4 linked regions of the Astyanax mexicanus genome follow. The protein of the gene in region 1 interacts with the protein of each later gene in a biochemical or structural test. Links are inferred from orthologs where the notes say so. Each region holds a gene or a part of one and is shown in the gene's direction. Other genes may lie near its edges.

Region 1 (8,515 bases):
TCGCCTGAGGTTTTTCTTTCTTCTTCTTTACCTGAAAAATAATTGTGTAAATCTTACGTGAGGAGAGAGTACTACTGCACTGCAGAAAACTAAACAAAGTGAAATGCTCTCGTTTCAAAGCAAAAAAGCTTATTTTTTTGTTTTACCAAGTATTGTAAGCATAAGATTATTTAAAATTGCTTATATTAGGAACAACATTACAACAAAAAAAAACCCTTATTTTAAACTAAGCACAAAAACTCACAAAGTCTTATTCTGATTGTAGCATTAACATTTAGATATAAAATCAGATTAAAACGAATCTACATTTAGAATATTTTAGAAATCTTGCAATTTTTTTGGCAGAGTTTTTGCTTGTTAAAAGCACATGTATCTCAATTCTTTTTTTTTTTTTTTGCTTTTGTAAAATAAAGGGGGCTCTTAAAATTACCTGCTCCTTAGGAAGTAAAAACCTGTATCGACCTATCCCATGAGTAGGCATGGATTTGTACTGTCTGTCAGCTGAGAACAGAAAACCTAGAAAGAAATACAAAATTTACTTCAATGCTAAATAAAAATCATATTGGGCCGAAATAAATAATTAGAGATTATGTTTAAATAACACAGCAATCAAACATCACACTGAATAGAAAAGGAAACAGCCATCCTACCCAATGGTATTTGTTGCTTTAACAATGGTGCCCTGTAAGAGAAAAATACACAGGTATAATAACAAATCAGTAAAAATCACAGCATATTGCTGCAACCAATCTGACGATAGTTTTTCCAATTACTCAATTAGTTATTGATTACTTCTGCCATGCCCTTTATCTAGCTTCCTGTGGATATGGCTCCTATTCCTAGCTTTTTCTATTGCTTTAAAATGACAGAAAGAACTGAACAACTTAAATGTCATTTAAAAGCCTATTACACATTTAATTGTGAGATACTCTGACATTGTCAATTATGTTGACCAATACTAATCATTGCAACCCTACTACAGCCCTGTTCCTAGAGTACAAAAGCTCAACACATTAATTCTACATTCTCCCAAAACCTCCTTACAACAAATCAGGTGTGTTAGGAAGAGGGTTAATGCTGAAAATGGCAGGGCTATATGTGAGATACTGATTAAGAGCAGTGAACTAAAGCAATGCACCAAACTCACCGAATCAGAGACAGAGCCTGGGCCAGTGCTCGTGTGTTCTGCATGAGCAACATCTGTAAAAATAATAATATAAAATAACCTGTTATTGTGTGTAGACTGATATACACAGGGTTCCCACTTTTCAGAAATACATTTCAAAACTTTCATACATGAGAGCATGCAAACAAAGTAATTTAAAGTACTATCCAGAACTCAATCACTCAATCCTGTTATACATATACTGTACCTCACTGAATGTTTATAATGCACAGACACTTTATCTGCCATATTTTTTACTGTGGACTAACACTTTACCATCCCACGGCACATATTATTGCTCTGTTTTTGTAGTTCTTATTATACTCATATTTTTAATTTACTGTTGAGTTCTTTACTTATGTATACAATAGAGGTGTGCCATATTATAATGTACATGATATCGCCAATTTATTAGTATTTTAGTAATTAGTAATTGTAATTAGTAATTGGGTGTTGCAGATTATATGCATGCACTTTAGTTTTATGGTATATTATTGTTGGTATATTACTATATATTTGTTCATTTTTTTATTTTATTTTATACAAAATCAGAGTGTTCGTAAATTACTGTTTATGAAATTGTTAGATTTATATAAAAAAATCTATTTATGTTGTTAAAATTTATTTTATAAAATGCATATTAACCTTTAATCAGCGTATTAATCTTGTATACATTTTTGTATGTCAAATAAATTGAAATTAAGTGTATTACTCCTGTATATTTTTAATATAATGTTAATAAGACTAGCTTCTATCCAACAAAATCGAAGGGGAAAATGTTCTACATGGGACTCAACCTGTAAAATTAATAAATATATTTTCTTACATTCTTTACATTTAAATACATGTTAAATTAAACACATCAATTACATACATAAACACATAACGCTACAATACATTATCTATTTAAAAAAAGATTGTATTTTTTAATTAACGTAGTTACAGAGTGTTTTAGCAACATTTATTACCTCAGGACAACTTATAACCTGTGTTTATCTTCAAAATAATATAAATGAATGGAGCTGAGAGCCAGTTACCCCAAAAAACTACAGTAACAGTGTACTGACAGACACACAGCAGAGCACACATGACCTTTACCACAGAGCAGCCCCACATTAACGCCGTATTAACACTCCACCAGTACTGCAGTTACCTTCCCCGTTACCGAGTTCATCCTCCAGAGATCAGCTTAAACTCCGCCGAGTTAAACTCTATAACTCTATAACTCTATATCTCTATAAACATTAAGTAATAGTCAGTTCTACACTCCAGCAGCGCTGCGGCTGCGATTTCTTCTTCTCTGAATCCTGAGTCTGAATGAGGAGAGGCTCTGTACTGCCGCCTCCTGGAGAGGAGCACATTAAATTATCAGTACTGGTAATCTACACTGCCTGGACAGAACAAAAATAAGTCACACACTTAAATATTTTGTTGGACCGTCTTTAGCTCTGATTTTGGCACACATTTACTCTGGCATTGTTTCAATAAGCCTCTGCAATGTCACAAAATTAGTATTAATTTTTCACCAAGATCTTGCAGCAGCATTGATGATGGTAGAGTCTGACCACTGCTCAAACTCTTTTCCAGCACTTCACACAGATTCTCAATGAGGTTTCCATGTGTGAAAATGATTATCTAATGCTTCCTGAATCACTCTTTCACAATTCCAGCTCCATGAATCCTGGCATTGTCATCTTGGAATATGCCCGTGTCATCAGGGAAGTAAAAAAAAAAAAACATTGATGGAATAACCTGGTCTATAATTAGTATATTTCAGCACATACTGTTGCTGAGCCTAGACATGACCAACTGCAGCAACCTCACATCATTTACTTAGTTAAATTTAATTAATTACACTTTATCCTTTTATTCTAATGGTAAAAATGTACAGATCCCCTAAGGTGACATCATGTAAAAAATTCCCATGGCCATGACTTTTTAAGCTGTAGAAACAAGATAATTAGAAGGTGGGAACGAGATCCTAATGGATGGGAACAAGATAATTAAAGCGTGGAAACAAGTTATTAAATCACAAGGTAGTTTTGTTTCACAACAAACAAAGCAAGCAGCTCTCAAGGGGTTGTGCACAATATGACTGCATAAGGAAGGTTTTAGTATGCAACTTTTAAAGTGTCTTTTACTTAGAATTATGCCACATCTCACCGCAAGAGACTCCAAAATATCACCATAATTCATTCCAAGATGAAAATAAAAAGAAACCAGTTCACTCTCGATTTTCTTACTTAAGATTTCCTATGTAAAAATATGACACATCATGAATATAAAGCATAGAACAGAAATATATAGAGGTAACATATTGTATTTTATTTTTATGTTATTTGACATCTATGTGTTATACGTTTTATATATATATTAAATAATTATATTATATATTATATACAGAGGTGATTTTTGACTGTTGACTGTATAATGTGTATTTTTACTATGTTAAATTTAACAATGAAGCAGTAACTGTGCTCAGTGCTCACAAGTGTGTCTCTGTATAAGATAAGGGATTAGAGGGAGGCCAGTGTAACATTATAAAGAATAAACCCAGCAGTGGGTGTTTAATGAGTTCAGTATTGATCAGTTCCGCTGAGCTAATGTTCAAGTGTCGGATGTGACTCATATCTGTGTCATTATTTCACATCAATCTGGAGTTCAGCCTTTTCCTAAACCCCCTGATGATGGTGATGATGCAGGCGTTTTTAAAGAGACCATGACGTAAGGGGCCGTGACGTGGCGGCTCGCGGACTCAACCAAACACTGGTTCATCTTCGTCCCGCCTCTTTCACCCAGACTGAACCTTCCCTGAATCTCTGCAGAGAAACACGCTGAATTGAACTTTATTAGCCTTATATGAGATCAAAATGTAGAAATTTAGATACGATATCTATCTACCTATCTATCTATCTATCTATCTATCTATCTATCTATCTATCTATCTATCTATCTATCTATCTATCTATCTATCTATCTATCTATCTATCTATCTAAATAGAACACTTAAGTTACTTACTGACACATTTTATATATAATCCCTGTCTCTTCATTTTTGGCCAAATTATGCTTCATGTCATAATATCATTTTTAAGCAGTTGTTCTTCACATTGTGTCAAAATTCCATCATAAATATAATTAATTAATTTCTTCAAAATTATTTGAAATTATTCTTATTTTTATTTATAAATTTACTTTATCTGTAAACATTTTTGGAAGCAACATATACATATACATACACACATAGATATATACATAGATATACATACATACATGTATTATTATATTAACATGCACATATTTTAAAATATAATAAAATTCTAACTAAAACATAAGGGTTCGTTTTTTTAAACATTGATTTATTTGTGTGCTATTTTTTAAGACAAAAACTATAAACACAGATACAATTAATACATGTTTTTAATATTTTTTATTATTAATAATAATTTTTAAATCGCTTTTTAAAGTTCTGCTTCCTATTGGTCAGACCCGGCTGTCAATCACAGCCTCCGCTATCACGGTAGGTTGCCGCTTCCTCCGCCAGTCTGAGCGGAGGTGATGGAGTGAGGGGGAGAGCCGGGAGGGTCTCAGAACTTGGGTTTAAACTTGGGTTTGGATTGAACTTCTACTCGGACTAGAGGCGGATTAAAATACTCACATATCGGCTCACCTGTATCCGCCCTTTTAGCGCTCTGACCGAGGCGTGCCGTGCCCGCCCACAGCCTGCCGACTGACGGTTACCGGAGCTGGACGAGTCTCCGCCAGTAGAGTACCGAGCCCCCGTCAAGCTGCCGCTCCCTCTCCGCTGCAGGCATGTCGACCTCCGGAGACTTCGGGAACCCGCTGAGGAAATTTAAACTGGTGTTTCTCGGAGAACAGAGCGGTATGTTGAAGTATTTATGTCGACTGGAGTTGCTGGATCTGGCCGCTATTTTTGTTTAGCCAGTGAGCTAAGCTATATGGGTTAGGTAGCTAGCTAACTATTAGTTAGCTCAATGCTAACTAGCCCCTGGTGTTCTGTCTAGTTGTGCTACGTTGTCAATCTGTGCTTCCCTAGTGTATATTTAAAGGTAAAAATACAAAAGAAGTACAATATTATAGCATGTTTCCACTAAAAGTATATCTAAAGCACTGTCTATTCATTTAAAATATTTTTTTCTATTTAATGTTTATTGTTTTCAAAATAAGTTAATTGCAATATACAGGAATAGCCCATTAATCAATCTCAACAAACAGGCAAAAAACATTTGTTGGTAACGTTTGCACACCAAACATAATGAGCACCAGTGTTATAAACACTGAAAAAGTTTAAGAAATATTACACAGCTCCAAGTCAGTCAGATTTAAGTTTTCTACTGTCTTGTCCCACATTTTATTAAAGAATTTATATTTTGAGTAAGATGAATAGGACACTCGTTCAATCAAACAATTTTCCATGAAATTATTTTTCCATACAGTTAACGAGGGCGGCTGTGGCATTTGCCTATTAATGCAGAAGATAAAATCATTTTAGCTACTACTTTACTAAGTTTATATACAGATTTGTCACCTAAAGGCATTAGTCTTGGAGAAAGTTGTATATTAACATTTGTGATTTTAGATAAATGTTCTGTAATACTTTTCCAGGGAATTATATATATATATATATATATATATATATATATATATATATTAGTTGTCATTTACACTTTTATGTAATGACAGTGATTCCAGGTTGCTAAGTCAACAAAAAAACACAGGAAAACAGAATTATTATTATAAAAAACACGATTAAAATATAAGAAATATAAAGATATATAATATAATATAATAAAAAAAAGTATGTTGGCGCATGCGCAGTGCCTGTAGGAAGCACGTATCGATAGGTAGCATAAGTCGACACAACACCGGCCCACAGACTGATAGGTTAGCTATCTAGCTGTTAGCCAATATTAGACAGGCTCCTGTTAAGCTTTAACTCTGGGCTAAGCTGGAAAATATATATTTATTAGTTAGTTAACAATTATCTCAGCTAATTTAGAGTTTTCTTTATACGCCTATATGTCAAGTCGTGTAGTTAAATGATTTAATATTGCTGTAATTAGCTTAGCTTGTTAATAAACTTGAGCTATTTAAGATAATGTTAGCAGGCTAGCCCTAGCTAAACATTTTGAAGCTATTTGACGTTTCTTTAAGGGCGTTTTAACCTTAAGATTGCCTTGTTTGTGAAATTGGTTTAAATAATTTAAACAGCAAGCTAGCTACTTTTTTTACTATGTGAATGTGTCTTCGAATTGCTATTGATAGGATTTTAGAACCACTTACTTTGGCCTAAACGACAGATAAAAAAAAGTTAGTTACAGTAGTTCTCTGTACTGTTAAGCTATCTAATGATGTTTACAACATAGTTTTTATTAAATAAGATTAGTCAATAATTGATTTCATTGAAAGAATCAAGCTTTGTCACTTTGTCACTAAATCAGTGTCAATTCATTGTTAAGAAATTCTGAGCCTGTTTACACTTGGCTTTGACCTGTGTTATTATGAGCTGCTTTAACTGGATTTTTTTAGACTTAGGTTGCAGTTTGAAATGAAATGTTGATTGAATTAATTTTATACTGGTGAAAATTAGTGGTAGACTGTGGTTAGTTTTGTTTTGGGTAAACCCCATCAGATCCCAGTGTTCTGATTGGATAACAATTTAACTTTTACTAAGATCTTATAAATATGGTTGTTTTTATGCTATTATAGTGATTCTTTAAATCAAATTTAAGAAAACTATCACAATATATTGTGATATATTGTATTGTAACCACTGTATCATGATGTGTATCTTATTGCCAACTTCAGCCCTAGTGTAAACAGATGAGATCTGATGTGGGGCTCTGATGTTTCTATTTTGAGGAACAGTAAATGGTTCTTACAATCCTCTAACAGTTCCACCTGAAAATGTCCATCTTTTACCACCTTTTCACATAGTTTGAGTAATCTGATCATAACCTGTTCACAGTGTGACTTGGGTATGCTTACACATTTCACATGCCTGTAAAAGTAAGCTGTAAATGGCATTAAGCTTTATTATAGGTTTGTACTATTTGTATATGCAGTAGTAATGGCATTGGCTTTAGATAACACTCAGATAACCAGCTATTATTGTTTAATCTATCTTATCCAAACTAACTGCTTTTTGTATTGTATGTATTGTACAGAATATAAATAAGTGGAAAACCATCTTATACTGTAGGAGTCTGATTCCTCTGGGCTAAAACACCTGGCTTCACCTCACAGGCTGCTTCACGCTTTGGTCTTGCCCTTACAAGCTTGATGAACCGCCTACTGCAGCCTTCAGAGGCATTTTGACTAGCAAATGAATGTTGCGCTTCCTCTCACAATGATGTCTCACAAAAGGTGTTCGTGTTTTCAGTAAATATTAGCAAATCAGATGTGAAACAGTGCAGTGTATGTGTATTCAAAACTTGTACAATTCTGTCTCTTCTGTGGTCTGTTATCCGTCATGGATGCTGCTGGTTATGATCAAAACAAGACCTCTATCTGGATAGGGTGTTTTAAAGAATGTATTGTGTTTTGTCTTATGTGTGGACATTCACACATGCCTTGTAGTATTTGGTTAAAACATGTGATTTGTCCAGCAATTGCTATTTTATACAAATTTAATACACTTGTTCCAATCATCACTGTTTTATTAAAAATTATTTTATAGTTATAGATGCAGCAGCACTAAATTTCCAATTTTTTGGGGCACACTAGCCAGATTTAGAGTGGCAAAAGCTGTTGATTAATCAATTGTTATACAGTTATACAGTTAATCAATTATTATAAGTTTAGGCATATCTATATTTTAAGGGGCTTGTTTTGTTTATAGTGGTGTAGCAGTTTATTTATTTAATTTAAAAATATATATATCACACACAATATTTATCTCAGTAGCAGCACACATGATTTTAGTCAAAATACATCAATTGTGACCAATCCTTAAAAACTACAGTACAAATACTATCCAGCAGTGATTTTTATTCAATATAGAATGTACTGCCTTAATCCATTTCAGGACTAATCACACTTTTTAAAGCAATTTTGTTTGGTCAGTGTTCTTTAAGCATTGATGGTGTCTTCGATAAAATAAGCAATATTGTCTATACAATAAGAAAATAAATAATTATATGATAAAATATGGTCATATTGCCCACTGCCACACTGTGTAGTATAGATAGCTAGTTGGTAGCTATTTTTAAAGAAAAAATTTATCAGCTTAACCTCAGCATTGTTTTGAATTTGACAATAAATGCATTGTTACTACATTAATGTCATGGTGTACACACATGAGATTATTATTGATTATTGGCATGAACA
Region 2 (8,771 bases), on another chromosome or scaffold:
TTATATACTCACTTGATCATTTAGTAATATTATAATGAATATTAATAACATTAAAAAAGTAGAAGATTCTGCATTACTGTGTCCATTAAAACATCCCTAAAGTTCTCCTGATGGGAATCCAGTGTTATGTATACATATTTTATCCATCACATGGTTTGCTAAGTCGGATGAGTTGAGGACTGACTCAAGCTTTGTTCTTCAACTATTTCCTTAAGAGAGAGAAATTCTCGTTACCTTATTCTGTATTCATGTTTAACTTCATCTGTTTTTACAGTAAAAATGTACTGCTGAGATATAGGTAACATACTTACAGGAAACGAATAGTTGTCCATCCCATTGCTCTCCTTTTCTGAAGTCATGAGTTGTTCTGTAGGTCCTTAAAGTGAAGAACACAGAACACTGCACAGTTTCACAGATAGACCTTGTAAGACAGGATGAAAAGAGACCAAGGAAGTACAGCAGAAGCAGTGTGAAGGAAGACAGGGGACCTTTGAGGAGATACGTTACAGAGGGAGAGAGAGAGATGGAGAGAGAGAGAGAGAGAGAGAGAGAGAGAGAGAGGCGATGAAGGCTGCTGCTGCTGCTGCTGAAGTTGATTGTAAATGCAATGGGACCTATCAGCTGATCATGTGAACTCAATTCAGCAGAGCTAAAGAGCAGCTGACTTAAGCCTCGTGCTGATAGAGTAGAGCACTGTCTCACACGCCCACGCCTACACACACATACACAGACACACATGCACACGCGTATACACACACTCCCACACACACACAAACGCGCATACACACATATACAAATACACACATATAAATACACACACACAAATGCTCAAACATATTGCAAAATCGCAATGTCTCTCTCTCTTTCTCTACCAGTAAAAGGAGCACAATGAAAGCATTTACTAACAGCTTATCCCATGCTAAGATTTATTTTTCTGTTTAATTGGAAGTGCAAACAAGTGCACTGCTAGGAAAATGAATCACGCATTATTTCACATGTATAGTTCAAATGTAAAACACATTATAATGCATAGGTTAAAAGGTACTACACATGATGGAGAGTAGAGAATGAGGATCATGAGATGATGAAAATAAATTAAATTAAATTAAATTAATGGTTTAAATAGTTATACTCTTAAATAAATATTAAATCTAAAATAGAATGTTTAAGCAATAGAACAAAACAAATGACAAATTACAGATAAAAATCCCTCCCTGGATTTTATTAATAAATAAGGGAAAGTTCAACAAGCAAACAAGATTTGATGAGAGAAATTATACATGCCATTCAGATGTTCAAGAGAACACTTGGCGATGCCCAAGAGAACACTTGGATATGCCCAAAAGGACACTTGGAGATACCAAAATGGACACTTGGAGATACGCAAGAGGACACTTGGAGATACCCAAAAGGACACTTGGAGATGCCCAAGAGAACACTTGGATATGCCCAAAAGGACACTTGGAGATACCCAAATGGACATTTGAAGATTGGGTATCTTCAAATGTCCATTTGGGTATCTCCAAGTGTCCTTTTGGGCATATCCAAGGCATATCTCCAAATGTTCTCTTGGGCATCTCCAAGTGTCATTTTGGGTATCTCCAAATGTTCTTTTGGGTATCTCCAAGTGTTCTCTTGGGCATCTCCAAGTGTCCTTTTGGGTATCTCCAAGTGTCCTCTTGTGTATCTCCAAGTGTCCATTTTGGTATCTCCAAGTGGGCACTTGGAGGGCACTTGGGCACAAGGGCACTTGGACATGCCAAAGAGAACACTTGGAGATACCCAAGAGGACACTTGGAGATGCCTAAGAGAACACTTGGAGTACCCAAAAGGACACTTGGAGATGCCCAAGAGGACACTTGGAGATGCCCAAGGGAACACTTGGAGTACCCAAAAGGACACTTGGAGATACCCAAGAGGACACTTGGAGATGCCCAAGAGGACACTTGGAGATACCCAAGAGGACACTTGGAGATACCCAAAAGGACACTTGGAGATGCCCAAGAGAACACTTGGAAAAACCCAAAAAGACACTTGGAGATACCCAAAATGTTACTTGGAGATTCACATTAACATGCATAGAGACACTTGGAACTGCCAAAAGAGGACACTTGGAGAAGCTTGGAGATACCCATAAGCACACTTGGAGATACCTAAAACTACACTTAGAGGTACCCAAAATAATACCCAAGTAAATGCCCAAGGGAACACTTGGAGTACCCAAAAGGACACTTGGAGATACCCAAATGGACACTTGGAGATACCCAAGAGGACACTTGGCGATACCCAAAAGGACACTTGGAGATACCCAAAAAGACACTTGGAAATACCCAAAAGGACATTTGGAGATACCCAAAAGAACACTTGGAAATACCCAAAAGGACTTTTGGAGATACCCAAAAAAAAACACTTGTAGATGCCCAAGAGGACATTTAGAGATACCCAAAAGAACACTTGGAGATACCCAAAATAACATTTGGAGATACCCAAAAGAACACTTGGAAATACCCAAAAGGACTTTTGGAGATACCCAAAAAAACACTTGGAGATGCCCAAGAGGACATTTAGAGATACCCAAAAGGACACTTGGAGATACCCAAAAGGACACTTGGAGATGCCCAAGAGAACACTTGGAAATACCCAAAAAGACACTTGGAGATGCCCAAGAGAACATTTGGAGATACCCAAAAGAACATTTGGAGATACCCAAAATGACACTTGGAGATGCCCAAGAGAACATTTGGAGATACCCAAAAGAACACTTGGAAATACCCAAAAGGACTTTTGGAGATACCCAAAAAAAAACACTTGGAGATGCCCAAGAGGACATTTAGAGATACCCAAAAGGACACTTGGAGATACCCAAAAGGACACTTGGAGATGCCCAAGAGAACACTTGGAAATACGCAAAAAGACACTTGGAGATACCCAAAATGTTACTTGGAGATTCACATTAACATGCATAGAGACACTTGGAACTACCAAAAGAGGACACTTGGAGAAGCTTGGAGATACCCATAAGCACACTTGGAGATACCTAAAACTACACTTAGAGGTACCCAAAATAATACCCAAGTAAATGCCCAAGGGAACACTTGGAGTACCCAAAAGGACACTTGGAGATACCTAAATGGACACTTGGAGATACCCAAGAGGACACTTGGCGACACCCAAAAGGACACTTGGATATGCCCAAAAGGACACTTGGCGATACCCAAAAGGACACTTGGATATGCCCAAAAGGACATTTGGAGATACCCAAAAGGACACTTGGAGATACCCAAAAAGACACTTGGAGATGCCCAAGAGGACACTTGGAGATACCCAAAAGAACACTTGGAAATACCCAGAAGAACACTTGGAAATACCCAAAAGGACATTTGGAAATACCCAGAAGAACACTTGGAAATACCCAAGAGGACATTTAGAGATACCCAAAAGAACACTTGGAGATACCCAAAAGAACATTTGGAGATACCCAAAAGAACACTTGGAAATACCCAAAAGGACTTTTGGAGATACCCAAAAAAAAAACACTTGGAGATGCCCAAGAGGACATTTAGAGATACCCAAAAGGACACTTGGATATACCCAAAAGGACACTTGGAGATGCCCAAGAGAACACTTGGAAATACCCAAAAAGACACTTGGAGATGCCCAAGAGAACATTTGGAGATACCCAAAAGAACATTTGGAGATACCCAAAAGAACATTTGGAGATACCATAAAAAAAAAACACTTGGAGATGCCCAAGAGGACACTTGGAGATACCCAAAAGGACACTTGGAGATGCCCAAGAGAACACTTGGAAATACCCAAAAAGACACTTGGAGATACCCAAAATGTTACTTGGAGATTCACATTAACATGCATAGAGACACTTGGAACTGCCAAAAGAGGACACTTGAAGAAGCTTGGAGATACCCATAAGCACACTTGGAGATACCTAAAACTACACTTAGAGGTACCCAAAATAATACCTGTAAATATGGACACTAGGAAATGCACAAAATGATATATGAAGATGCCCAAATGGATAGTTGGAGACAAGCAACAGGGGACTGTAGATGCTGGAAAATACCAAAAAAGACACTGTGTATATAGCCAAAAAGATGCTCAAATGGACACTTGGAAAAGCTTGGAGATGCCAAAAATTCTATATGGCGACACTTGCAGATGGAAAAATAAAAAAACATGGAGATGGCAATAAAATCCCAGTGTTCTTTTGGGTATCTCCAAGTGTCCTCTTTGAGTATCTTAAAAAAGATTTAAAGACATGTTGAGATTCCTAAAGAGACACTTAGAGGTGCTTGGATTTACCAAAAAGGACACCTGGAGATATCCAAGAGGACACATGAAAATGGACCACATGGATAATTTAAGGCACACATATAGTTACTTAGAGCACTTAAAGATGCATCTGCCCAAAATGACAAATGTAGTTGCCCAAAAAGCGACATGGAGATTTCCATAAACATGTTCCCACTTCCGGCACAGTTTTCTTATTTCTCCTTTTTGTTCCATCTGGACTCTTTTGTGCTTAAAAAACAATTAATTTTGCCATCTCAAGAGTGCGTAAGGTAGGAAACCTTGTCAGTAAGGTAGGAATCCTTGTGTGGTTCTCAAATTTAGGATACTGAGATGTGGGTGCATTTTTGGGGACTTGGATTTGATTAATAAAACCATAAAAGGCATATTGTCCTGAACTGCAGAATTCTCCAGATTATGATTATATGACAAAACAGCAAAATAGTGATTTAACGTTTAAAAATGGGGATTTTACTACTCCAGTTGTGAAACGGACTGTAATTAGATTAACGGAGGAACAGTGAAATTACAGCACTTTGAATGTAAATACATTACACTTCGTCAAACAAAGGTGTACAGTGGACAATGCCTAAGAAATAAAAAAAAATATATAATAATAATAAAAATGCCTAACCATGACTAAACATAATGCCTTTCTCACAATACAGGATTTTTACAATCTTAACCAATGTTGAAATTGTTGGAGATACCACACATGAAGACATTTTACAACAAATTTTCTGTATTAATTAATTGTTTGATATTAACTTCCCCACACTATACTACCAGCTGTACCACGCCCAGACCACGCCCCCATTCTCAAAACCTCGCGGGAGTTTCGGATGTAAACAAACAGCGGTGACTATGGTCATGCTAGTTGTGAGCGCTTTCTGTCCAAAAAAGACAAGAAAAAGAAAAGGATATGGACGAAACCAAGAAAAGAAGGAGTTAACAGGGCTTACACGCACTGCAACGCCAGCTGGAGGTAAATATACACATGTACATAGATATATACCGTACACCGCACATATAAATATAGGTAGGTTAGCTGAATGTAGGAGAGCAACTCCAAACAGCCAATTTGCTATATCATATGCTTTAACGTGTCAACTACTGAAACTATGTAACTTATTTAAGTGTTTTTTATAAACATGTAAAGGTTGTAAAATTGATTTAAATACAGCTACTCCATTGTTACAATGGTCCCAGTGTAAATTAAATACCGGTGGCGGAGCATAAAGTCCACTAATCCAGTAGAAGGTTATATAGGCCTAATAGATAATTGCATGATTTCAAATCATGTAAACTAGACTAACTGCTAACATGCTAGTCATTTTTGCTTTTATCTTATAAAACATTGTTTGTAATAATACGTGTTTCGGTTACTAGAGGTGATCTCAGGACGATATCTAAATTTTTTACCTCAAAAACACTTGTGGTAATAGCTTTCTCTGGGTGTTTCAAATGTGTCTTCCTTTTGTTAACAAGAAGACAGTCTGTTCTCCAATATACTGTTAATTTTTAATAAACCCCTCGTTTTAAATACCATGTTTAAAGTTCACACAGTTTAAATCCAACCTGTATACACCCCCCTGTATATCCAATAAGATGAGCTCTCATTAGTGGATAGTCTTTCAGTCATGAGGGTACAGTCACGTTTCAAGTCGCAGCCTGTAGAGAATAAAGTAAAGAAGAAAAGAGGAGGGAAATGACATACGTGCTCCTCTGTCACGCAATAGGGACCACTGTCTCGTTTTTGTTCTTTGTTAAAAAGTCTCATAACAGTTTTAACGAACTGTAAGGCGTAACCTTGTCATCTTGAGGGTGCACCGAAGGCAACGCCGTCTATAAACAGTAGTGTGTGTCTGTGTAGATGTACTTTAAAATATGGACAAAGAGCAACGTTAACAGCAATGTTAGTGGGCTGATTTAAAGTGACCGGAACTGTGGAGGTTGAACCAAATCCATTATTCAGATTAATATATTGTATCTAATGGACTATTGAGATTTAGTCACGTTTCAGTTGTGAGTCTGTAAGATTTCTGACACGATTAGAGCATGTTTTGATGCGTCTGGGTGGCTTTGTGTGTTTTGTGCATAATTTAGTGAGTAATTACGTGTCTTGTGCGTTTTTATGCATCTCGTGCGTAATTACGCATTTTGTGCGCTTTTACGCATCTCGTGCGTAATTACGCATTTCGTGCGCTTTTGCGCATCTCGTGCGTCATTACGCATCCGGTGCGTTTTTATGCATCTAAGACAAAACTGAATCAATCTTCACAGTAACATATACTCTGTTAGTCTCTTTGTTCGGTAACGTGCTGATAAAGGTGTTAAAACATGCTTTACCACCAACAGACAGCACTATTACACGTGTACCTTCGCTGTGTGTGCTCCTAAATTATAAAACAGTCCTCCTTTAGATATCAGACTCACTGAATCTACAGCATCTTTTAAAAAACGTTTAAAACCCCACTTTTACTTTTTAGGCTTTCCAGAGGGATCATGGGAAATGTGTCTATTTTTGTTTAATTTATTTTATAATTATTTATTTATTATGTTTTAATTATTTTACTGTAAAGCACTTTATGGCTCTGTCTTAGAAAAATGCTATATAAATAAATATTACTTACTTACTAATGTGCATTGTCCTGATCCCTATAAGCTCCCCAAAAATGCACAGATGTATCAGATATCGAAATTTATACTAATAAATACTATATACTATTTATACCCAAATATGTAAATAAACTAACATTTGTGGTTTAAGTGTATTTTTATACACAATTATTATACTATATTTAGAGAGGATTAACCCTCAAAATATGTTAGTAAATTTAACCACAGTGCAGATAGCTCACTTTCTTAACATTCATATTCTAAATAACAAACCAAATTACATTGTCTCTAGCCTTTATGAAAGTTCTCAGATATTTAGTATCCCAACAGGAGGAAGAAAAACCAAACAACAAAACAAACAGTTTTTTTTAAGTTATTTCAGTTGATACATTCAGTGTGAAAATGTTTAAACTCATGCAAATTAAAGAATGTCAGCCTGTATAAGTGTATAAAAAAACTAACTTAAGCATGAAACTTATCGCATGTAAACTAATACATAAAAAAACAGATAAGCAATGTTACAAACCCAGTTTTGATTTTTAATTTTTGCAGTTCTGCCATGTCTATGCCTTTTTCTGTGTTCCTCTTTTCCTCTGGACCAATATAATATTCACTCTTCCATCAGTGTTATTACTCTTTTGACCCTATCAGCAGGATTAGTGTGTTTATTTTGCCTGTATTTAAACTCCTTCTACTGTGGAGCTGCTGATCTAAACTGAACTAATAGACACAAAGAAAGGGGATATCTGGTCACCCTAGTTAAATTATATCTCAGAATGTCTTAAATTCCCACGATTTAGCAGAAGCAGTATACTGCTGACTGTAACAGAAGGTCATTGTGATGTTTATTTCCCCAAACAAGACACGTGCCATCTCACTTGACATCCAACCACTTATTAATCTGTAGTTACTAATTCAAAGAGAGTGTATGCAATTAGTCAATTTCACAGAACACTCGTTTCAGCCCAGTTTAGTGTATTCAACTTTAGCAATGAATTGTTGGTATGCTGAAATAGTACAGGCTGGGGTGAAATGTAGTCTAGTGGAAATTGATGTCACATGAAAGCCTGAGAGGCTGGGGACAGTAAGTTACAGTAAGTCATGAGATTTCTGTATGCTGCATTTCTTTTTAGGCCTGTACATTCATTCACCACTGCCATCCCATTCATAGTTGTGCCCTGCCAAAGTATTTAGTGCCCTCAAAAGTCAACTGATTTGTTTGTAGAAACAAATTCAGTATTCCTTGTCTTTTTTTGTGTTATGAAAAACATTTTGATACAACTACTACATCCCCAAATATGGAGCATAAGAGAATATCCAGTTTAATTTACAGTTATCAACCAAAACAGAAGTGATGTCAACCTCATTATGATTGATGGCATCTTTGAATGAATCATCACAAAGTGGAAAAGTGTACTGTGGCCAGGCAAATCATTGTTCTACACTTTCTTTGAAAGAAACATATGTGCTTCAAAAGCCAAAAGTGTCGCTTGTTTTTAAAACAAAATGATACAATAGACACGGTAGAAATAAATAAAAAATGATAAAAACAACAACAATCCTAAAAAGTGCTGGGTCAAAGTAAATATTTATAGGCATATCTCTTTTGACCCAAAGTGTGGGTTTTTAACATTTTTGGAGTGTATGTACCAAGAGCCACCACTAGATGGAAACCAACTCCTGCAGTGCAACTTTAAAATAGATTAATTTAAGCATTTTTATTAGTTTCAGAGTTATAAAGTTATACAGGGGTGTCTAGCCTCTATGTAAGTTTAACTGCTATCAATAGTAATAGTACTACTCATAATACTGCTATTAATACTACTGCTAATACAACAAATACT
Region 3 (8,266 bases), on another chromosome or scaffold:
TGTTCTGGTTAAAACAAATACAGGAGTGCAGTTCTCCTGATTCAATAAAATTGAATATATAGTTATATATTATATAGTTTAGTATATAGTTTATATATACAGCTACGGAGAACTACTTCAAAATTATCCGTTTCTATGATTTTACTATTTACAGGTTTATGTTTGAGTAAAATCAACAACTACAGACAACATTTCTCCCAAATTCCAAATAAAAATATTGCTATTTAGAGCATTTATTCGCAGAAAATCAGAAATAGTCCAAAAAGAAAAAAGATGCAGAGCTTGCAGACCTCAAATAATGCACAAAAAAAAAGTTCATATTTATAAAATTTTAAGAGTTCAGAAATCAATATTTGGTGGAATAACCCTGATTTTTAATCATGGCTTTCATGCATCTTGGCAACATGTTCTCCTCCACCAGTCTTACACACTGCTTTTGGGTAACTTTATGCCTTTACTCCTGGTGGTCGTCCACCTCCTTTTGATTATATTTAGAGGTTTTGAATGGGGTTCGGATCTGAAGATTGACCGTCAACTTATTTGAATCAGTCAGCAACAGCAGGATGACGTCAAGTGACCTACAAAAAGAATGGCAACAAAAATATTGTTGGTAGTATATAGAATTGAACAACTATATTCATTTTACTCAAACATACAGTATACCAATAAATAGACATTTAGAATAATTGATCATTTTATATAGTCTCTTTATGTTTTTTCTGGAGCTGTATATAAAGAGATTTATTTTAATGTTTTTTTATATTTTAGATTTTTGTTCCACACACACATTAACACATAAAGGCATAAACTAAACTGTATTCAGAAAGTGTCCCAAGACTACTTTTCAGCTCTGTGTGAAACAAATGAAAGCTCTGTGTACTGTGAAAGATAAATCATCATATAAGCTTAATTAAATTTATGTCACATTTCCAATTAGTCAAATGGAGCAGAGTCAAGATTTATAGACTTTTGCTATTAAAAGTGAATATAAATAAAAAAATTCTTCTTGTTTTTCTTGAGTGTGTCATCCTTCCACAATTCCACAAGTCTGATCATTCTTTATATGATGGATAGAGTGAATAAATCAGTCTGGAAATGTTCGATCTTTCTTCTTTCTTCTTCTTTTCTATTCTCTAAGGTCTCCCGGAGACGGTGGCTCTGTACTTCGTGTCGGGAATCTGCGCCGGCCTGGTGTTCCTGCTGTGTCTGTTCGGGCTGAAGTCCACTCTGGTGCGGGACGTGAAGGACCTGGTGTCTGAGCTGGAGGACGAGCTGAAGGCCGCCCGCAGGTCCCGCAGGGGACTGATCGAGGACTTTGATGACGATTATTCTTCTCTGGACTCCGGCTTTCGTCACCTCACTCGCTCCTACCGCGCCGCAGACATGCTCAGTCCAGAGATGGTCATGACTGTGGTGATGGAGGACAAAAGGACGGAGGAGGACAGGGACAGAGCAGAACTGCCGAACGGAGACCTCTGGCCGCACTGTAACTCCAGCCCTTACGCCTTCCACAAAACCACGGCTTCTTCTACCTGAGACTCAAATCTGAACAAAAAGCAACTTTACTAACAACAGACTAAATCTAATTATCTTATTCCTGCATTAATGAAGCAATGGAACAAACCTGAGTGAAGCCAAATGTCACAAACATTATGGTGCTCTGAAATGAATTAAAAAATGTAAAAAAAAGTGTAGGTCCATTCCACTGAACGGGTGCCATTTCTAGTTGTAACTCTTCCAAATTAAACTTTTTTTAAAAATATATATATATATATAATTTTCAACTCTAAATTGAATAATGCGTATTAAACTATTCAAAACATGTATTGGTCAAACTCAGGCAGCTTTACTTAAGTTTTACACGGTTTCTAATCTGAAGATAGTTACAAAACTCCTGTGACATATAAAAAGCTTGTTTACATTAGAAAAAAACACTTATTCCTTGAATTTTTCTTTAATGTCTTTATGTTAAAGAAATAGTTGCATGTTCAAATTATTGATATTTATGACAAAAGAATCATTCCTGGTAATGGCACTCATTTCTGTTACTGGCACTCACTTCTGTTACTGGCACTCACTCCTGTTACTGTCACTTAGTCCTGTTACTTTGTATGTTTTGAGTAACAGGAATGATTTTTTGGATAGAATTTGCAAAACCATGAAAAATATCTAAATGGGAATCTTTTCCCAGGTGCAGGGTAGGTTAGCTAGTCTGGCATTGTTAATACAACAAATAACGTTATTAGATGTTTGTGTTTCGTTTTTGTATGATTTACTGACACCAGAAGTTAGCAATGGACTTCCCTCTGTACTAATTATGGTAAGGTTGACTTGTATAATACTGAGAAGTAGTACTGGGATGCCCCAGTTATTATTGTTTTGTTAAATTATTTATTGAAGACTAGACTATTAGACTTTCACCACCATTCTGAATTCTATATTTCTTTAAGCCTAATGTTGAGCTGAAACAGAAATTAAAGTAACAGGAAATAGTTTATAGCATAGAATTTGCAAAAACATGAAAAATAGCTAAATAGTGGCTATGCTAATAGCACGAGGGAATTGAGCACATTCTAGTGATTTTCCAAAAATGTGTATTTTAAGAATAAACAAATAAAATCTAAAAATTAATTTAGGTAACAGGACTGAGTGTTGAGATTGAACTCTCAGTTATCGTTACAATAAGATCAAATATACAGAAAAACTAATGAGTGAAATTAATTTTGGTCTTCCTGTGATCTTCAGAAAAAACAGCTGATGTCACTTCCTGTTGTAGAATGTTCCAGACTCAGGACTGAGTGAAACCCAGAGACACAACTACTCTAAAATGTGTATTTTAACTTAAACATTATGAATTCATTATGAAAAAAAAAAAACATTTTAAAGCATAGGTGGGATTTGGATTCACACAACAATGCAAAAAAAAAAAACATCTCTGAGGGATTTTAATAATTATATTTCATGGTAAAGTTTATAGTTAGAGAGTGGGGACAGGTAACAAATGCTTTTTTTTCAGTGTTCTAAGTAGTTTTTATTAATGTTTTTAATTTCACATTTTACTTTTGCAATTAGGTCAATGTACAAGACGCTATTTTTAATAATAAAATGTATTTTAAAGCTATTTCGGGCGCACATTTATATATGTAATTTCCTAAGGACAGAAATGGCACCGATTCTGTGGAATGGCCCTGTAATTTAAACACAGTAAATAATAAGTAATGTATGCAAAATTATACTCTTAAATAAAAAAAAAATTGAATGTATATTTAATCATGTCTAATTAGTCAGATTTTTTTCAATGGAGCAGAGGAAAATGCCTTTATAACAAATATTATGGAGGTCAGTATATATATACTCATTAATATAAGGAGTTTCTCACATAAAGACAATTTGCTATGGTGTAATTGTATGCTATGGTTTTACTTTAACATTAATCTACAATACTCAACAAAAGCTACATGGTTATGCAATGTTCCATCAATTCAGCATCAATTCAAAAGTTTTTCTTATTATACAGGTTTTATTTCTAAGAGATGAAAGTCTAATGCGTTTCTTGTAATGTTTTTTTGTAAAATGTACAGACATAATAAATACATTTAAAACATGTAATATATGGCAGTATGTTTTTGTCAGAATATTTTGTGGTGTGTTTTGCAGACAGATTAATTTGCTTATTCTAAAATTGATCATATGATTTGTGTTTGGCCAGCAGAGGGAGGCTTCTCCATTTAACACAGACTGAACACTGTTCTATAGTAAACTGTACAGAACTGAAACTGAAACTTTTATTTGTCTATATATTTATAATCATAAAAAACATATAGGCGTGGTCTGAACTTGTTTGTACATCATTGAAAGTCATCATTAAATGGTTTCTATCTATCATTTATAAAGGCAGCATTTTAATCAGCTGACTAATATTTTAATTTTATTTATTGAATCATGGTCATTTGTTTTGTTACAGTGTGACAGTAATAACTGTCATTAATGATTCAAACTGTGAATCATTTCCATTTTTGCTGCAGTTTTTAGATGATCTTATCTTATATTTTTGCTACTGTTGTTTGAAAGAACCTGCTTACTAAGAATTTCTTACTGTCACAAGTTTATTACACCTTTGAATTACACTAAAATAATGGTAGTGGGGTGTGGGGGCTATTTTTAAGGTGAAAAGGAGATAATGAAGTTGTGGGGACGAATCCCCACCACTTAATTATCTGGTTCCCACACCTTAATAAGTCACCCCATGATTTAATTGTGGGGACAAGATAATTAAATTATGGCGACAACATATATGGTCAGGACTTAATGATCTCCTTCCCACGCCTTAATAAGTTCATCCATTTAATCAAGCCATTGAATGAGATAAATAATTTGGGACTTATTTAGATGGGTTAATAATTAATAATAATCTTGGGGATGACTTAAGGCATAAGGCATAGGAACGAGACAATTAAGTTTCCCCACACTTTAATAAGTCATCCCCACCACTTAATATTCTTGTTCCTACACCTTTATAAGTGACCACACGACTTAATTATGGGGGCAAGATCATTAAGTTGGGGGTTATTAAGGCAAAGTCGTGGGGATGACTCATTAAGGCGTGGGAACGAGATAATTAAGTTGCAGGATTATTTGGCCAGGATCTAATTATCTCATTCCCACACTTTTATAAGTTGTTCCCACACCTTAATAAATCATTCCCACCACTTAATTGAGGGAATGAGATAATAAGTCATGGGGCAACGTATTAAGTCAAGGGGATTACTTATTAGGTCGTTGGCCATATAAGTGGTCCCCACGACTAAATTATCCAGTTCCTATACGTTGATAAGCCATCCCCACAGCTTAATTATCTTGATGCCACACCTTAATAAGTTGTGGCCACGCATTATTAAGGCGTGGGAATTAGATAATTAAGTTCTGGCCATATAAGCCGTCCCCACAACTTAATGTCGTTTCCACGCCGTAATAATTCGTGGCCACGCATTGTTATTATTACTATTTTTATTTCTTTTTATTTTAATGTGACCTTAAGGGCTCAGTATGCGCACATTCTGCGCAGTGTGGTGTGTCCAGACGCTCCGCCCGCTTGGCCCTGCGGTTTTCTCACGCTGATGTGGAGCAGCGATGCTAAAGCTAAAGCTAATGCTAACGCTAACTAACATGCAGCGCTGAGGCTGCGGACAGCTGGCGGGGCGGCGGCGCGGACAGTCCGGCGCTGAGAGAGCCTGAGGACCGGGGCTACCGCTGTCCGGCTGGAGGGTTCTGGGGACGGTTCGGCTTGTTAAGCGGCGGTTTGAGAGTCGGGGTGAAGTCGTTAGTGTGTCTGTTTTTATACTAAAGCTGCGGGGAGTCGGTTCTCCGGTCTCTGAACTCGCGGGGGAACAGTTTTTTTATCGGGTTGACACGAAATTAGCTGAATTAACAACTAATCTTTGTGGTTTATTGAGGAGATTTGGGGAAGGAGAGGGTCGTGGCCCGGTGAGTTAGTTAGTTAGCATAGCTAGTTAGGCTAGCTAGCTCCGCGTACAGCGTCTAACAGCGTCTCGCTGAGCCGGTATCTCGGGCTGAAGGCCGGCCGACACGGGTGAACATTCTGGGGCGGGGACTGGAGGACTAACCGGAGGAATAACCGGAGGACTGGAGGAAAAACAGTGGGAGGAAAAGCTGCAGCTGCAGCAGCACAGCCTGCTAACCTGACCGGAGAAACAGGAGATTAATGGAGTAAAGCGAACTAAGTGACAACAGAGCTAAAGTATGGATTCTTCTCTGGATCTCTGCGAGGAGAAATGTCTGACTGTATCCTTTAAAATGGTTTAATTTCGGTTTAAAAAAAAGCTCTGACTCTGCTTACTGAGGCTAGTGTAGCTAACAAGCTGCATATAGATTTATAAACAATCCAACTAGCTAGCTAACAAGTTGGTTAAGTTAGTTAATTATGTAGGTTTAGGTTATTTTAACTGAATAGATCAATTTAGATCTGTTCAGTTATCTAGTTAGTTATCACGTCCTAGTTTTATCTATCTATCTATCTATCTATCTATCTATCTATCTATCTATCTATCTATCTATCTATCTATCTATCTATCTATCTATCTAGCCTATTATTGTTTAGCCATATGACAAAAACATTAAATAAAAATAATAACGTATATAAAGAATGCACTACTGCAACAAAATGAATATTTAAATGTATTATTGCATACAATATGATACAGCACACCCCTAACTGAGATATTTAAAAAAAAATACGAGTTTTATCAGATTTGCAACAGAAGTCAATGATCCAGAATGTCATGATACTAGTAATGCACTTCTCCAAATATCTCCATATATCCAGGATAAACACTACTGCACAGATATGATCTTTAGTACTCTCTAGTAGATATATAATGGGAAATGAGAACAGTGTGAATTTTATGTTTGCTAAGAACAGCAAACAAATAGTACCCTGATGTGATAAATAGGGGTGGGTGATATGGCACAGTATTTCAGGGTATAATATCGTTCACGATATTCAAAAATGTTGGTGATATTATTGCGTATGATGCGATATGGCACACCCTAAGTTTAGAGTACTAAGAAATACCAAGAGAGTGAAGTTAAAATGCTTTTATTATCATTACATCTGAAGACAGGTGCAAAATTATGTTCATCAGGAACCATGATGCAACATGGAACAACAATACAATAGACAACATCAGCTTCATCTCTCTGTGAGTTGAGGAGTCTGAATGCCTGGTGAAAGAAGCTGTTGCAACTCTGCTTGTTCACATTGCAGAGAACCTCACCTGGTCCCTCAACACCAGCTCCAAAACCAAGAAAGCCCAGTAGCGCCTCTACTTCCTATACTAAAGAGAGCATCTTGAGTGTCTGCGTTAATGTCTGGTTTGGGAACTGTAACATCTCGGATCACGAGACCCTACAGCGGATAGTGAAGACAGCTGAGAAGATCATTGGAGTCTCACTCCCCTCCATCACTGACATCTACACCACACGCTGCATCCGCAAAGCCTTCAGCATTGTGAATTTTCGCTCTGAAGATAACAGACCGTCCGAGCCTCCACCACTAGACTCTGGAACAGTTTCTTCCACCAGGCAGTCAGACTCTTCAACATACAGAGACACATACCAGCTCAGTCAATCCGAAACATTTCTTTTTTTTTTTGTGACCAATTTTTTTATTAGAATCCGAAACATTTTAAGATCTTTAAAAGTCTACTCGAGTGCAGTTATGATTGAACTGGCTCTCATCAGGGCCACCCCATGAAAGGAAGTGCAAGAATTAAGAGAGATAGTTCATCAGTGTTTCCAGCGCCAGAAATCGCAAGTTAACAGCACCCTGGATAAGAGCATCTAAAGTAGTTTAGTATTTATTTATTTATTTATTTATTTATTTTTTTAACACTTTTAAGTTACTACATGATTCCGTACGTGTTCCTTCATAGTCTGAATGACTTCAGTATCCAGTTGACACTGGCCCCACTACTTTAAAATACATTGATTTAATCCAATTTGTATGTATTTTTATTCATTTTAAAGTTAGAAAGTTTTACTGTGATGCCTAGTCTCTATGTAAGTTATAAATATGTAAAATTTTGGAAATGGGCCAAAAATATATTTTATATCAGTGGCCTAAAGTGTTTTTAAACTGTATAATAACATTGTTAATTACGTTAATTTCTACTGCAGAAATAAACAAACTAAGATGTATTATAAAAACAGACCTATTTCCAGTGTAATATTCCTTTAGGACCAGTCTAACCCTACTAGAGGAGCACTGATGATCAGTCAGGTGTTAAACATATCAGCTTTTCTGTAAATCTCCCCTCTACATTTTTCCTTTTATCTTCCACCGCATGCCTTTGACTCCTTAATTGCAATGCTTAGACGGTGAGGGGGCATGAGCTGAGGGCTGGCCAGCGAGAACCAAGACTCCTCTCGTTACTGGAGCGCTCGGGACAGTTTACGTGAGTATCTATCTGATTTAAATTGTCTTTCATTTTTCTTTCTCCTGATATTAAATGCAAAAAATCTCCAGCTCTGTGTAGAAACCTTTTATTGTGTATTATATGAGCAGCTATGAGTTTTTTTGTACATTTCTGTACAATTTGTATCTGTTTTGCTTGTGCGTGTTGTGTTGTGTTCTGTTCTGTATATTAATACTATTAAGCAGTCTGATAAGCATATTTTCTTTAGATTTGCTTTTAAAGTTCCCTATTTATGTATATAGCTATTTCTAAGTGGCTTATTACTTTCACAC
Region 4 (8,077 bases), on another chromosome or scaffold:
CCTTTCGCTGTTCAGAGCTGATAGTGCCCAGGGTTCCCAGAACACTCAGGGTACCTCGGTCTAGCACTAGGACATTTACTAGAATTAGCACACTGCTGCTAACTGCGCTGTTGACAACATTGAAAATCTAAGCTTCCTGTAAATAAACAGAAGCACTTTACTCACCCAAATAAACAGTTTCCAGGAGAGAAATCTGTGTAAATTAACATCCAGTGCTTGTTTGACTTGAAAATATATTTTTTTAAGAATTACAGTTTTGTTTACTTAGAATTAGAAGGGAAACATGACGACACCCTTGTTCCTTACTATTGTCGCGTAAATGCACCTTATATTCTGGTGCACCAAATTATAATACACCAGCAAATAGACGTTCATTGATAGTGCGCCTTAGAATTAGGAGCTCTATAGGTGCCCTCATAACGTGATGAATCATATTTGATAGTAAAAGACAAAGTAAATAGTTGTCAACCGATTTCCATTATTGATATTTAATTTATTCAAAGCTGTAACCGTGATCCTGCTGCAGTGTGTGAGGAGGTAATGCAGCAAGGTTTCGTTGAAGTTGTAAAGCTAGATTTTGTAAATGTTTGTTTTCTTTCTTCCTTAGAGTGGAACATAGAGGGAAGATCTGGATGAAACCAGGACTAAAAAAATGTAAGTTCCACACATCCACATATAGCATTTTGTTTGTTTGTTATTTTCTAATCTTGTATTATTTGTGTGTACAGATGCCTGCGCACTCACACTGGACCAAAACACAATACACCCTTGTCTTACTCTGTCTGAGGGAAACAGAAAGGCGAAGAGGTCTTGGGAGTATCAGATGTATCCAGAACATCCAGACAGATTTGACAACATCAAACAGGTTCTTAGTGTGGAGAGTCTGACTGGACGCTGCTACTGGGAGGCTGAGTGGGATGGGAGGGGGGCGGCTATGACTGTGTCGTATAAAGGAATAGCAAGGAAAGACTTTGGATTGAAAAGTCTTTTTGGGGCCTGGAATCAGTCCTGGAGTCTGGAGGGGTTTATTAATGCTGATTACGCTCTTTGGCACAATTGTCATCTTACTCCCATATCCACACCTCCGTCCCCCTCTCACAGAATGGGAGTGTTTCTGGACTGGGCGGCGGGTACACTGTCCTTCTACAACATCTCACCCAGCTCAGACACACCCATCCACATACACACCATACACCACACATTCACTGAACCAGTACATGCTGGATTCAGGCTTCGCTCCAATTCCTCAGTTTGTCTGTGTAATATAGATTAGCCATTATCAACACTGTGAGCTAGAATCAGACCCAAGTCACTGCTCAACCTTGATTTAACACCAGTTTTCATTAAAGCTTTTTGCAAATTTGTAATATTGTGAAAGAAAATGTTAATTAATCAGTGCGTGTATCAGTGGTGGTAGCTCATGGTGCTTTTTTAAAGAATTTGAACCTTTGCCTAGCTCTGAGTTTGGTAGTTTTAATAGCACTTTGTTAGCTGTACACAGCTGCAACTCAGTGAGAGTCAGTGAGTGGAATAAGTGAGTTAATCAAGGCTTAAGTCTGTGGCTGCACAGTAATCCTTTCACAAACCTTGTTTTTTATTTCATGTTTCATGTACTTCTTGGCTTCACTAAATATATGCCTACTGACAAAGCAAGTCAAACCTGTTCTCAGATCAGGCAAACCCAACGACAAGACAAGACAGCCTTGGTTACCATATTTGTGTAGGATATACCGATGGAATGTGGCCTCCAAATTAAAGCGCCAGAATGCTCTTATTGCGCATAAACTCCAATCTATCCACAGTTATCAATATAAGCGTCTGCCAAATGTAATATAATATAATATAGGCTGCTTTTCTGTTTTCGTATGTCTATGATGTTCATTTAATCTCCAAAATCTTCAAATCAATAAACTGCAATATTGCCAGTCCAATCATTTTTGTGTCCAGTGTTTTAAATAGCATTTAGTGTGCTAAAAAGCAGCGGTGCAATGCAGTCTAAGGGCGTTTTCACACCTAAAGTTCGTTTCTCTGGTCCGAATCAGTTAATGAGTTTGTTTACTTGGAGCGTTTTCTCGCTCTGTTCGGTCTGGCTTCACATAGGCATAAATGTAAACACACCGAAATGCACATCAATAAACCACGCGAGCAGCCTGTGTCCTCTGATTGGTCAGAGCTGTCTGACACGGGAGTATGTTAAATATAAATATACGAAAAAAGTAAAGACAGCGAGAAGATTTTGTGTTCCAGCGCAAATATCTGTGCTTTAACAATGAACGCTGAAACACTGCACTTTCAAACACAGTGTTTCTCCGTGCAGCGCAGATTTATACATAATAAACAGAGTCACGCGGCTGCGAGCAGTGAATGCAGCGCAGACGGCGCGTGCATGGACAGTGTTTGTTCACAGCTGTGGTAATCAGCGTTATCTGGCTAATATATCAGTTTAAACTGTGCTTGCTTTATCAGAAGTTTAGCTCAAATAAATGGCTTATATTTAATAGCTGGATCCGATCGAGACCGGATCACATTCTCACCACAAGCGAACCGCTCCAGAGTTCGTTTGGCTAGCTGGTCTCGGTCCGGTTCTTTTGATCCGCACCCGAGTGCGATTACTGTTTTCACACCTGCTCAATCGAACCGCACTAAAGTTACAAACAGACCAGAGTTCGTTTTAACCGGACCAAATAGTGCTGCTGTGAAAACGCTCTATGTAGTCAACTTTAGACTGTGCTGTCTCTGCACTACTACCTTGTAGTAGTTCAAGACTTATAGTCTATTATTTTACACAAACGTTTCTGCATGCCTACATTGATTTTGGTGATGTAAGGCTTGAATGCCGCTGCTTGGACATTGACACCTATTTCAGGAAGCGCTCTACTGTTCTTGAGAGAATCTTGAGGTCTTCATGCAGTTTTCATGCAGTAAATTTTACAACTTTGTGCACAGATGGGATCCTATAATGATGATGATTTGGATGGGTGAGCATATACTTTTGGTAAAATAGTGTATGTAGTGATTTAACACTCCTCTAGAGACTAGCCTGTACTGGCTGAAGAACCGTCTGTACTGACTAGTGACTGATCTGGAGACTTGCCTGTACTGACATGACAACTTCACTTTAGACCTGCTTGTACTGACTTGAGACCTGTCTTGAGATATTCCTGAACTGACCTTGAACCTGATGTGTCTTTGCTTACTCTGCACTTAACTTACACTGGCTTACAAATGTCATTTTTCTGTGCAAAGCAGACACCTTGTGTTGACAATGGCTGTTAATTGTTAATTTCTCTGCACTCTGAGGCATCTAGGTTGGCCACATATATACCAGTTGTGACAGTAGAACCATATCCAACATAAATTTCATGAAAAAAATATATCTTGCGGCCAGCTCCACGGGGTGGTAGACTTATTGTTTATTGCTTATATTTTCACTTGTATTTTACACATTTTGTCGGTTGAATGTTGAATTTAATATGGTACATCCATTCCCCATTCCTGCATTTCAGACCTGAAACACACAATAAAAATTGTATTAAAGCATTTTGTTGCCATTCCTTCTGCCAACAAAAATATGATGATCCCAATCAGTTACATTTTAAGGTGCTGTATTATTGTCATTGTTACATTTCTTTTAAATTGTAAAAACACTTTTTTTTTATTGGGAACAGGAAAGAACTGCAGTAAGGCCAGCCATGTACCTGTACCTTGCTTTGTAAAGTACCTTTGTGACCCTGGGTACTTCCTTTTTCTTACAGCACTTATGTTGGAGTTTTTCCTTGTTGCTGCTACTCACTGGAAGGGTTTATATGGAAGGGTTTATATTTTAAGTTTTATTTCTTCTGTCCTGGTACCACATTTTTGGAAAAGAGCTATAGAAATAAAACAGATTTGATGATTTATTCTAATCTTCTGTATTGTTTTACAGATAAACCCACTTATTGATCACTGGAATTATGTTTATTTTGGTATATTCTAATGTTATATATTGTTAGTTACAGAAAAAAACACTGACCACAGACTTTATGATTTTACTTTCATGGGTTTCATTTCATTCTGTTTTCACCTTTAAGGTTCTAGTGCGCTTTGTTGTTGTTGTTTACGCCGGTTTGGAGCTGCTGCGTTTTATTTGTCCACCAGAAATATCCAGAAAAGGAACCTAATTTCCCAATCCACCTTAAATGGTGCTGCTGTCACATGTAGTTTATTCCATTTAAGGTGGAATGGAACATTTTACATCTGCAGTACTGTTACTGGATTTCGTTGGTTAAATTCAAACCGTCACTGTGCTGCTCACCAATCAGCATCTGCGGCGGCCGCCCCTGCGCTTCTGATTGGCTGAGGTCGGCGCACAGGGATAGGCGGAGGGGGCTCAGCGCGATGTTTGAATACGTTGGTGAGAGTCGGTCGGGAGGCAGCGAGAGGTTCAGTAACTACAGTAGTGAGGTTAGCTTTCAGTAGTTTAACACAGCAGAGATAAAGATAGGTATAAGGAAGAGGTTTAGCAGTCAGGTCCGCGGGTATTTTGGCCGAAGAACTACAGATTAAGAACAGCAAAGGTAAGAATAAGCCCAAATCTTGATGTATAACGTTAAATACACGAGGAACAGCAGTCTGGGCTAGCTTTAGCATTAGCTAGATAGCAGTGTTTATGTAAACTCAGCGAAGTAAAGTAGTTAAACCTGACAAATAAACAGACACAACTATTGCTTGGCTGATTTAGAAACAATAATAATAGCTAACCAATCTATCTTAACTAGTTAAAGTAACTAACGCTAGCTAACTAGGTTACTAACTAACGAAAGTGACTACTGATCGGTTGGACGGTTTAACCCACAGTAGGAGAGTAATTTCTGTTTTTAGTCACTTTTCCTCTCTGCACAAACACATGAGGCTATATGTATTATTTAAAGCTCGCTAACAGGTTTCAGTGTTAGTCACTGTACTTATTAAAAATGTTACCAACGTCTAACAAGTACAGAAAACAATGACGCTTCTAATTTGCATGTCTTAAGTGTGACGAGGCTGAAGTTGGTTTGATATTCGCAGCTCCAGATTCGTTTGGCTCGATATTCGCAGCCTCGTATTCCCCGGCTGAAGTTGGTTTGATATTCGCAGCTGCCGCTACACTGAACCACCGTGAACTAAAGGGAGCGTTCACAAACACCCGCTGTTTATATTAAACACCTCACAGATCAACACTGAAGGAGATAGAATGAAGAAAAGCAGTACATCTGTTTATTAACAATGTAAATATACAATATATTATTAAATGTAATTTTGTATATTGTAAAATATTTGTTTTAATTACTGAATTTATAATTATATATTACAATAAATAATTAAATATATATTTAATAAAATTATATTTTAAAAGCCATTGCGCTCAAAAAAATGAGGCAGATGTTCAAGTGTGATTTTGAAGAACTTTTTCATGTTGGGCCAGACCAAATACACATGATCTGAAGAGTACTACTCTTCTTCTTTAAGGAAAACCTGGAATTAGCCTGGCCCAAGCTGATTTTATACTTTAAAATTAACTGGCAACATGGAATACCGATCCATAATGCACAATTTTTTTATGTAAAGCTGATGTTCCAGTGTGATTTTGAAGGACTTTTTCATATTGGGCCAGACCAAATACACATGATCTAAAGAGTACTAGTCTTCTACTTTAGGGAAAGCCTGGAATTAGCCTGGCCCAAGGTGATTTTATACTTTAAAATTAACTGGCAACATGGCATACCGATCCATAAGGCAGAAAAAAGTTTAATTTAAAGCTGAAGTTCTAGTGTGATTTTGAAGGACTTTTTAATCTTGGGCCAGACCAAATACACATGATCTGAAGAGTACTAGTCTTCTTCTTTAAGGAAAACCTGGAATTAGCCTGGCCCAAGCTGATTTTATACTTTAAAATTAACTGGCAACATGGCCTACCGATCCATAATGCACAAAAAAATTGAATATAAAGCTGATGTTCTAGTGTGATTTTGAAGGACTTTTTAATCTTGGGCCAGACCAAATACACATGATCTAAAGAGTACTAGTCTTCTACTTTAAGGAAAACCTGGAAATAGCCTGGCCCAAGCTGATTTTATACTTTAAAATGAACTGGCAACATGGAATACCGATCCATAATGCACAATTTTTTTTATGTAAAGCTGATGTTCTAGTGTGATTTTGAAGGACTTTTTAATCTTGGGCCAGACCAAATAGACATGATCTAAAGAGTACTAGTCTTCTACTTTAAGACAAACCTGGAATTAGCCTGGCCCAAGCTGATTTTATACTTTAAAATGAATTGGCAACATGGTATAACGAGCCATTTTGCACAAAAAAGCCACTGTTCCAGTACAATTTTGAAGATTTTTTTAATCTTGGGCCAGAACAAATACACATGATCTGAAGAGAACTAGTCTTCTACTTTAAGGAAAACCTGGAAATAGCCTGGCCCAAGCTGATTTTATACTTTAAAATTAACTGGCAATATGGAATACCGATCCATAATGCACAATTTTTCTTTATGTAAAGCTGATGTTCCAGTGTGATTTTGAAGGGCTTTATCATCTTGGGCCAGACCAAATACACTTGATCTGAAGAGTACTAGTCTTCTACTTTAAGGAAAACCTGGAATTAGCCTGGCCCAAGCTGATTTTATACTTTAAAATGAACTGGCAACATGGAATACCGATCCATAAAGCACAATTTTTTTATGTAAAGCTGATGTTCTAGTGTGATTTTGAAGGACTTTTTCATCTTGGGCCAGAACAAATACACATGATCTAAAGAGTACTAGTCTTCTACTTTAGGGAAAGCCTGGAATTAGCCTGGCCCGAGCTGATTTTATACTTTAAAATGAACTGGCACATGGCATACCGATCCATAAGGCACAAAAAAGTTTAATTTAAAGCTGATGTTCTAGTGTGATTTTGAAGGACCTTTTAATCTTGGGCCAGACCAAATACACATGATCTGAAGAGTACTAGTCTTCTACTTTAAGAAAAACCTGGAATTAGCCTGGCCCAAGCTGATTTTATACTTTAAAATGAACTGGCAACATGGAATAACGATCCATAATGCACAAAGAAATTGAATATAAAGCTGATGTTCTAGTGTGATTTTGAAGGACTTTTTAATCTTGGGCCAGAACAAATACACATGATCTGAAGAGAACTAGTCTTCTCCTTTAAGGAAAACCTGGAATTAGCCTGGCCCGAGCTGATTTTATACTTTAAAATGAACTGGCAACATAGCATACCGATCCATAATGCACAATATTTTTTATGTAAAGCTGATGTTCCAGTGTGATTTTGAAGGACTTTTTCATATTGGGCCAGACCAAATACACATGATCTGAAGAGTACTAGTCTTCTACTTTGAGAAAATTTTGGGATTTGCCTGGCCCGAGCTGATTTTAGACTGCACAATTAATTGGCAACATGGCAGCACAAAAAAAATATTATTTAAAGCTGATATTCCAGTATGATTTTGGACTTTTTTTTCAGACCAAATACACATCAGATGAAGAGTTCTGGTATTCTCAAAATCAATGCTTTATATTCATTATTTCTGTGCAAAATGGCTTTCATGTCATGTTGCCAATTCATTTTAAAGGATAAAATTCTTCAAACTTGTACTGGAACAGTGGCTTTTTTGTGCAAAATGGCTCGTTATACCATGTTGCCAGTTCATTTTAAAGTATAAAATCAGCTCGGGCCAGGCTATTTCCAGGCTTTCCTTAAAGTAGAAGACTAGTACTCTTTTGATCATGTGTATTTTTTCTGGCCCAAGATTAAAAAGTCCTTCAAAATCACACTGGAACATCAGCTTTACATAAAACATTGTGCATTATGGATCGGTATTCCATGTTGCCAGTTAATTTTAAAGTATAAAATCAGCTTGGGCCAGGCTAATTCCAGGTTTTCCTTAAAGTAGAAGACTAGTACTCTTTAGATCATGTGTATTTGGTCTGGCCCAAGATTAAAAAGTCCTTCAAAATCACACTAGAACATCAGCTTTAAATTCAATTTTTTTGTGCATTATGGATCGGTAGGCCATGTTGCCAGTTAATTTTAAAGTA

What was found.
Region 2: the proteins of rab6a (region 1) and bicd1a form a complex in vitro, tested with the Homo sapiens proteins (3 studies listed by BioGRID). The link is inferred for Astyanax mexicanus from reciprocal best matches to the Homo sapiens genes RAB6A and BICD1.
Region 3: the proteins of rab6a (region 1) and ocrl form a complex in vitro, tested with the Homo sapiens proteins (2 studies listed by BioGRID and IntAct, with this or other methods). The link is inferred for Astyanax mexicanus from reciprocal best matches to the Homo sapiens genes RAB6A and OCRL.
Region 4: the proteins of rab6a (region 1) and kif20a form a complex in vitro, tested with the Homo sapiens proteins (2 studies listed by BioGRID). The link is inferred for Astyanax mexicanus from reciprocal best matches to the Homo sapiens genes RAB6A and KIF20A.

Annotation. Positions count from the first base shown.
Region 1 is NC_064427.1:4,753,090-4,761,604, forward strand, and holds the start of rab6a (ras-related protein Rab-6A), read left to right. Parts: upstream 1-4,687; 5' UTR 4,688-4,978; coding exon 4,979-5,048; intron 5,049-8,515. Other genes in the region: mrpl48 (39S ribosomal protein L48, mitochondrial), read right to left, coding at 1-31, 431-516, 651-682, 1,148-1,200, 2,319-2,339. UniProt on the Homo sapiens protein: The small GTPases Rab are key regulators of intracellular membrane trafficking, from the formation of transport vesicles to their fusion with membranes.
Region 2 is NC_064416.1:18,196,362-18,205,132, reverse strand, and holds the start of bicd1a (protein bicaudal D homolog 1), read left to right. Parts: upstream 1-5,168; 5' UTR 5,169-5,172; coding exon 5,173-5,293; intron 5,294-8,771. Other genes in the region: slc23a4 (xan_ur_permease domain-containing protein), read right to left, coding at 312-359. UniProt on the Homo sapiens protein: Regulates coat complex coatomer protein I (COPI)-independent Golgi-endoplasmic reticulum transport by recruiting the dynein-dynactin motor complex.
Region 3 is NC_064417.1:49,199,453-49,207,718, reverse strand, and holds the start of ocrl (inositol polyphosphate 5-phosphatase OCRL), read left to right. Parts: upstream 1-5,121; 5' UTR 5,122-5,760; coding exon 5,761-5,802; intron 5,803-7,893; coding exon 7,894-7,973; intron 7,974-8,266. Other genes in the region: si:ch73-335m24.2 (protein eva-1 homolog C), read left to right, coding at 1,139-1,536. UniProt on the Homo sapiens protein: Catalyzes the hydrolysis of the 5-position phosphate of phosphatidylinositol 4,5-bisphosphate (PtdIns(4,5)P2) and phosphatidylinositol-3,4,5-bisphosphate (PtdIns(3,4,5)P3), with the greatest catalytic activity towards PtdIns(4,5)P2.
Region 4 is NC_064424.1:33,418,300-33,426,376, forward strand, and holds the start of kif20a (kinesin-like protein KIF20A), read left to right. Parts: upstream 1-4,375; 5' UTR 4,376-4,556; intron 4,557-8,077. UniProt on the Homo sapiens protein: Mitotic kinesin required for chromosome passenger complex (CPC)-mediated cytokinesis. Following phosphorylation by PLK1, involved in recruitment of PLK1 to the central spindle. Interacts with guanosine triphosphate (GTP)-bound forms of RAB6A and RAB6B.